Linked DNA regions of Stegostoma tigrinum. Each later gene encodes a partner of the first gene's protein in a complex. Links are inferred from orthologs where the notes say so. Each region holds a gene or a part of one and is shown in the gene's direction. Other genes may lie near its edges.

Region 1 (3,752 bases):
TTGAAGAATTCAGGAAGGTATTGGATGATTATTTGGATAGAAATGGTGTGCAGGAATAAGGGGGAAAATTAGCAGATTAGCACTAGGTAATAGAAACAGAGCAGGCATGGTGGGCCGAATGGTCTGATTCTACACTTGAACAATTCTGTGAAGCTCACTTTGTAAGTGCAAGTTCTTCTTAAGCAAATCGTCACCTTCTTAATTCATTTCAACGCAGCTTGTTCTTTCTCGGCAGAAGCGACCATCATCTTTATTGCTTATAAACATAAATGTAACAGTTGTCCCGGACGTCCATTCGGTAGTTGGTCTTTTAAACGTTTTTATTTTGTTTTTATATAATCCAAGAGAAAGTCATCAGTAGTTGGTTACATTTCAAACGGGTGACGATTGCGTGTACTTTTTCCTGAATAGACATGTCAGTGCCTGTATTGTGGTGCTTCTGTACTGTTTCCATCCGTGTGATTCCTGGGTTATTTTTGCTAAATTTAACACAGCCGGTGAACTCGGGATTGGTTCATTCTTGGGGATTTCGTCTCCTTCCGGCCGTCAGAACCCTGTTGGTGTAGCAACAAGTCACTCGAATAGCTGCAGAATAAATAACATTGTGTCACTGAAGAGAAAGGGTAATGAATGCTAAACACTGTAAAACACGAAAAGTGAAACGAGGGTTGAGCAGCGTGCACAGAATTTTAAGCAAAATGATGTATTTACTGTCGGAATCAACAGCAGGCAGTGAAACAATTAGCGGATGCTACTTGTCTTTTGAAAACTATAATAGAAATACCAGATTTCCAGCGACATTAACCAGTATTTGCAGCAAAAACGCTGCTGTCAATCATGTTACCTGGGAGGCGTTGCAGGGGCGAGAGGTATGCGGGGGATTGTAGTTCCCCGGCCCCGTGTGAAACTGGTTGGGTGTGGAAGTAAGGAACTACATTTCCCGTTCAGCATCGCGGCGAGCTCACGCCTTGTGCCTGTGCCATCCGGGTGCCTGTGCGCTCTGAGCCGGGCTGGGGTGTGGTGGAGTGGCAGAGTGCTACGGGCACGCAGCTCTTCCCCGCAGTCACAGGGGCTTAGTGAATTGCTGAGTGCAAACAAAAAAAAATCATCAGCCACCCGAGCCGGAATCTAAATCTCTTCAATACGCTTCTTTTTGCATTCCAACTCAGCCTAAACAAAACAACGTCCTATATATCTGCATAAAGTTTCTTTTGGCGACGTCGTCTGGACCTTTCTCTAGAGGACTTAGAAGCTGAAATTTGAAAGGAGGGTGAGAACTTCTTTGTCGAACATCCACACACAACAAAAAGAGAATTGAATCGACTTCAACTGACAATGGGTTGTACCATCAGCGCTGAGGACAAGGCGGCTGCCGAGCGATCGAAAATGATTGATAAGAATCTCCGGGAGGACGGAGAGAAAGCGGCTCGAGAAGTGAAGTTGTTACTTTTGGGTAAGTTGGGTCTCAGTTTGTATGTTTCTGTCTATTGGTCTATATGTGTACTCCTCGGGCTGGGTTATATTAACGTTACACTTTAACCACAGCGAGAGAAGGGAGTGCGAGTGAAGGATTGAAGTGTGAACGCTCTGTAACTTTTTCACAGTCAAAATGACAAACTGAGTGGAACAGACCGCGATTTATTGTGTGTTTAATCTCTTCCCTGAACAAAACGCTCTTACTTCCTTCGAAGGGAGTAGGAGGAAAGGGTGACAAAAATAACGGAAGTTGCATGAAGCAAGGTATTTTCAACAGCAGGCCCTACTTGAACATTTAGAAGGAGAATATTGTAGATGAAGTTGAATAGCTTGTTTCCAAGGAATGCATTTGGCCGTTCCTGTATTTAATGTCTCAAATTGTACTCCGGCACCTCAATGATAATGCTCCCAAGCGTTCTTGATTATTGGGGTTGATTTAAATTAACTCTTTCCCCCCCCCCCCCATGAAATTGGAGACATTGCTTCCTGCATGCACTTTAAAACAATCGTAGCAATGCCTTTCTTTTTGAAGAGAAATCCGTCTTTTAAAGTAAATGAAGGGTCGTTTTAATTCTTCTAATATTTGTTCAATTCCACAATTTTCCCACCGAATTTGAGTGATTTCAACAGAGAATGAACTCTCGAGATGCGCAGATGTCGTCAGGGTTTAGATGACAATCTCTGCTGCAATTTTTTTTTCTCTTTTGTGAACTTCGACGATGAGTTCGAGCCTATTGACGTAGGGTTCAGACGGAAAAAGGGAAGGAAGGGCTGTGGAGAAGAATTGAGGGAAGGCAGGGCCCCACATCTGCATACAACCCAAGAGCAGCCTCCGCCTGTACCGTTGTCCTGTGTGTAGGATCAATCGGAGAGATCACAGTGTTTAGAACAGGGAAGGAGGGGACAGGGATCCGCTGGGAATGATAGTTAGCGGCTGACCGTGATTAATAAGCATCTCTCCAGCTTATTCACAACTGCAGGCTGCCTGCAGTGCCCTGTTGCTTTCGCCTGCTTATTTAATTGCACATCCAGCAAAATTAATGCTATACATGTCCCCAATTACACGGGGACAAAAACACATCGAAAAGTGATGCCGTCGGCCAGAGAGGTATGCTTGTTAAAGGATTATATAACCGCAAAGTGCAGGCTTTCATACCATGAAGCGCGCGGGACAGTGAAACCGTTCATTTCAGTGGCTTGCAATTACATAGCGCCTGCAATATAAACTTAGGCGGCATCAGCAACGGAGGAAGAATAAACGCATAAGTAGTCTCCAGCCAAGATAACCTTTTGAAATGGAGGCTGCTCAGAGGTTTGTGGAAGCCTGGACATGATTTTGGGAGGTTACACTCTTCCAGGCTTGAATCTAAACATTAACTCAAGGATCCTTTGGGCTTTCTAACAGAAACAGATCATGGAGCTTTAATTACTCAGACTTTGAGAAAAATACGCCTTTTGGGTGTGGAACCAGCTTCAGAGGATGAGGTGACATTTGTGGTGTTGTAGCATTCTGTATAATTTCCTGTTGTGAACAATTTATCTGGTCGTGTTTGCATTCACTGTTGTCACAAAAAAGTAAGAAAAAGCCTGAGATGTGAGGAATGAACAATTGATGCTATATGAGGGATGAAGACTTGTTATTCCCATGTAAGGACTCTCCTATGCTGTATTGTTCTAAAATATTTTCAATTTTGAATACAGCAGTGCAAAATGTATTTTGCTATTGCCTTGAAAAATGAGACCAAATGAGATTGAAGTGCAAAGGAATTCAGGGGTACGCATCACAAATATGCATAAAGCAGCAAAGTCATTTAAACAAAAAAGTGGCTATCATTTTTGGAGAAGTAGAATTCAAAGGTATGCATATTCTGGTCTCCAGAATACAAAAATGATCGAGATGTACACTGGTAAAATTTCGTCAGGACTAACGATCCCTGAGAAGAGATCATGAGCAGCAATGATGGAGTAGCCTGGACTTCTGCACTGAAAAATAGAAATGTGAGACGACCATAAATAAAATTTATGAAGGGTTATGTTAAAGTTGACATAAACATATTTTCCATTGTGGGTGAGTCCAAAATTAGTGGCTGTAGATATAAAATGGTCACTAAAAATACCATTGAGGAATTGAGGAGAAACAACTTCGCCAAAGGAGTGGTTAGAATTTGGAACCTGTGAGAGAAATTTAATAGAGTCGGATGAGATAATGTAAAGTAGGAGAAAGCTTGTGTGGAGCATAAACACCAACATGGACCTGTTGGGACAAGTGACCTATT
Region 2 (3,752 bases), on another chromosome or scaffold:
CTCCCCCCACCCTCCGAAACAACTCTGTAAATTTCAGATTACCTCACCACATCCTCAACTCCCACTCCCTCGGAATATGGAGCTCAATGTGTTGCAAGACCCTATCTGTGTTACTGTGCAGATTTAAGTGTTACAAACAGGGAAGGGTTTTGTGGCACGGTGGTTACTTCTGAGCCAGGAGACCTAGGTTCAAGTCCCACCTGCTCTAAGGGTGTGTAATACTATCAATGAACAGACTGATGAGAAAACATCTTGCAGATAGGGACCCCAATGGTCTTTCTGGGCTGTAATACAATTTTGGTCTCCAAATTTGGAGGCAGTTCAGTGGGGATTTTCTAGATTGATTCGAGAGAGTAGGAGTTTGTTTTACGAAGAGAGATTGAACGGTTTAGGCCTATACTCTCTGATGTTTACAAGAATGAGATATCTAACTGATGTATAAGATGCCAAAGGAGACTGACTAAATAAGGGTGGAAAGGATGTTTCCCCTTGTGGGGCAATCCAACACGAAAGGTCATAAATTTAGGGTAAAGGGTGGCGGACTTAAATCAAAGGTAAGGAGGAATTATCATTCTCAAAGGGTTGTGAATCTGTGGAATTCACTACCCCAGGATGCGGTGAATGCGGTGACATGGAGTAAATTTAGGAAGCAGATAGACAGCTTTTTAATTAGTAACGGGTCAAAGGGTTATGGAGATCGGTGGAGAACTGGAATTGAGGCCAAGACGAGATCAGCCACAATGTACCAAATGGTGCAGGCAGGCTGAAGGAACTGAATGGCCCACTCCTGCTCCTAGCTCTTACAGTCTAATCAAACATCAGTGTTTGGCTGGGATGCAAAGAAAGCTACAGCACCGATTTCCTAGGATCCAGTCTCTCCCAAATTTGCACAGCCAGAGTTCAAAATGAAGGCGAGCAACTTTGCTGATTTCTGTCGTCTTTAACTTTGGGATGGGTACAATCGTGGCAAGATCACTGACTCATAACAGACTGGAGAGAAGCAGCATGCATTTAACAGGTAGTCATTAATCCCAATGTTGTTTTTTTTTTAAAAAACACTGATTCAATGGTCACATTATAAAACCATAATAAAATAATTTAATTACTATTTTGTTACTGTTTCTGCAGTAGTGCTACCGATCTTTATCTGTACAGTGATCGTAAGCTGTCACTTGAGGTCAAGCAGCAGAGACCAAGAACTGCATTCTATGTGAAACAATGCCCTCAAAAGACAGAATCTGGTGGTGAAGTGGAGTTTGTAGACTGTCAGTGATAATTCCGGAGTTTAAAATTAAATACAGCAATGACCAATATTTCCAGCTCAGGACAGCAGGCAACAGGAGGGAAATATTTTTATCGTGAACTACATAAGCAGAATAGAAAGCAGAAGCGGTGACAAAGCTGCAATTCAGAAAGCAATGGGCCTTTGTTTCCGACAGATGAATACAAGTACAATCCCTCAGAGAGAACACATGCTCATTCTGAAACACGGAGGTCAGATTCCACGACACTTCCAACCTCATCATCGAGGAACCGAGGGCAAAGCAAAGCAGGTAACAAATTCAAATCTTCACTTACAGAAATCTAGGACAGGGTCAGCAGAAGCATTTGGTGAAAAGATTAATCAAATCTGTAAATTGACAGCATGACTTTTTAGGTGAAGCAGTCACCAACAATGGCAAATAAAAACCAAAAGAACTGCAGATGCTGTAAATCAGGAACAAAAACAAAGTTGCTGGAAAAGCTCAGCAGTTCTGGCAGCATCCGTGAAGGATAGCACAGAGTTAGCGTTTCGGGTTGGGTTCTGAGGAAGGGCCACCGGACCCGAAGTGTTAACTCTGTTTTCTCCTTCACAGATGCTGCCAGACCTGCTGAGCTTTTCCAGCAACTTTCTTTTTGTACCAACAATGGCAAATCCTGGCTAAACATTTGTAATTGTTATGGTAATAATTATTGTCACATTAATTTTTATTTTGTTATATGGTTGCAAATTTTTCCCTTTCCACTTTTTGAGAACAGGTCATTATTTGTACGAAGTCCACCAAGGACTAATGTATTTTGGAAGGGTGCACTGAAAGCTCCAAGTTTAAACACAATGTTTTTGAAAAAAGGAAGTGTAGACAGCCAAACGATTGAAACAAAATAATGGCAATAATTACTGGGATAACGAAGTGTGGAGCTGGATGAACACAGCAGGCCAAGCAGCATCTCAGGAGCACAGGAGCACAACACAGGAGCTCTCTGATGAAGGGTCTAGGCCCGAAACGTCAGCTTTTGTGCTCCTGAGATGCTGCTTGGCCTGCTGTGTTCATCCAGCTCCACACTTTGTTATCTTGGATCCTCCAGCATCTGCAGTTCCCATTATCTCTGATGCAATAATTACTGGGTTGACTTACCAAAACAAAATAGCTAAGAAATATTCCTCCTGAATATATTTGAGGTTAACAAGGTGAGGTTCGGTAACTGAATGTGTATAAACGCCAAGGAAGAACAAGGCAACTACCAGCCTGCACCGAACTTCAAATTTCGACATGCAAATTTACTGCACAACTGTGCAATCTTGTACTAATTTATTTGCAATCTATTATCTGCAACTTCCTGCTAATGGTGTGTACATAGATAACGCAGCTTCATCCAGCCTCATTTCAAAATCAGAAATGTTTTGCTCAAATTATCTGTCTTCTCTTTTTCATTTGATCGATGTAATACTTTTCCGTACTTCATTCGTAAGAGGGTCACTGCAAAGTGTTTTGAAAGAAATCATTTGTCATAACCTGGACAATGACACAGTTGACAAATTTTGCTTTGCACACAACTTTCAGAATTAATATACCCTCCTTCTTCATTCGCAATTGCATCTTGTTTCTCTGATTGAATCATACGAATCCTGCAGATTTTACATACGGTTTTGTCAACAAACATTAGAATTCTACTCACTTCCACTAATCCTCAAAAACTTCAAACCTGAAGTGCATTGTAGGTTTTCAGTCAGTGTTATACCAGTGAGTGCCCTTTGGTTCACTCCATTTAGGGTGCCTGTACTTTTTCCCCATTGAAAAGGTTAAAACACAGCATGAATCGGATTCCTACAGAACCACTTAAAAATACAAATGAATACATTATAATTTCCAAGGCGAGGGAATAATTTTTCCCTCCTTGTTAGTTTTAGTGGGAAAACTAAACAGATGTGCATCTTGTCCATCTGGCTCCAACACCATGACAGAGAAACCTGTTCCAGCTCAGCAGGAGGTAGCTGTCTTTTACAGACGGATGTGTATCAGTAAATGGACAGGAGCATCACAATAAAGTGTGAATGCCTGTTCAGTCGTAATGGAGGAAGTTTCCTCATCGTGCTTTTCACTATCTCAGAAAGCCCCAATACACTTTGCAACCAACGAAGGGCTTTTTGAAGTGTAGTCACTATTGCAACACAAGAACAGCAGCAGTCAATTTGTGCGCAGCAAGCCCCTGCAAACAGCACTGACAAGTGTGGCTCGAACTGGTTCCAAAGGTGAAAAAATGCGTGGCAAAGGGATGAGAAACTAACTGTTGGACCATACCCACCAAGAGTGCACCAGTTGTTTCTGGAGACTCTCAGACAGCCCATCCTGTCAAAGTCTGATCCCGTGTTTGCCCCACCAACCGTCGAAGCTATAAAGTCACCAGCAGTTACAGTGCAGCATCCACCATGCACAGATGCTGGGACAGTAAGCCAGATCTAACTTGACTCAGTACAAAACTGCAGGATGGCA

The links.
Region 2: the proteins of guanine nucleotide-binding protein G(i) subunit alpha-2 (region 1) and P2Y purinoceptor 12-like are in contact, whole or in part, in a cryo-EM structure (PDB 7XXI), measured with the Homo sapiens proteins. The link is inferred for Stegostoma tigrinum from reciprocal best matches to the Homo sapiens genes GNAI2 and P2RY12. Residues at the interface, in NP_002061.1 of Homo sapiens: Arg24, Glu28, Ala31, Arg32, Leu195, Glu319, Ile320, Tyr321, Phe335, Phe337, Asp338, Ala339, Thr341, Asp342, Ile344, Ile345, Lys346, Asn348, Leu349, Lys350, Asp351, Cys352, Gly353, Leu354, Phe355; in NP_073625.1 of Homo sapiens: Phe59, Asp121, Arg122, Lys125, Thr126, Pro129, Phe130, Thr132, Asn134, Pro135, Ile212, Leu216, Ser219, Tyr220, Arg222, Thr223, Arg224, Val234, Lys237, Ile241, Leu301, Cys302, Lys303.

Annotation. Positions count from the first base shown.
Region 1 is NC_081364.1:15,213,570-15,217,321, reverse strand, and holds the start of guanine nucleotide-binding protein G(i) subunit alpha-2, read left to right. Parts: upstream 1-992; 5' UTR 993-1,335; coding exon 1,336-1,453; intron 1,454-2,424; exon of another isoform or gene 2,425-2,584; intron 2,585-3,752. UniProt on the Homo sapiens protein: Guanine nucleotide-binding proteins (G proteins) are involved as modulators or transducers in various transmembrane signaling systems.
Region 2 is NC_081367.1:65,974,634-65,978,385, forward strand, and holds the start of P2Y purinoceptor 12-like, read left to right. Parts: upstream 1-1,385; 5' UTR 1,386-1,553; intron 1,554-3,752. UniProt on the Homo sapiens protein: Receptor for ADP and ATP coupled to G-proteins that inhibit the adenylyl cyclase second messenger system. Not activated by UDP and UTP. Required for normal platelet aggregation and blood coagulation.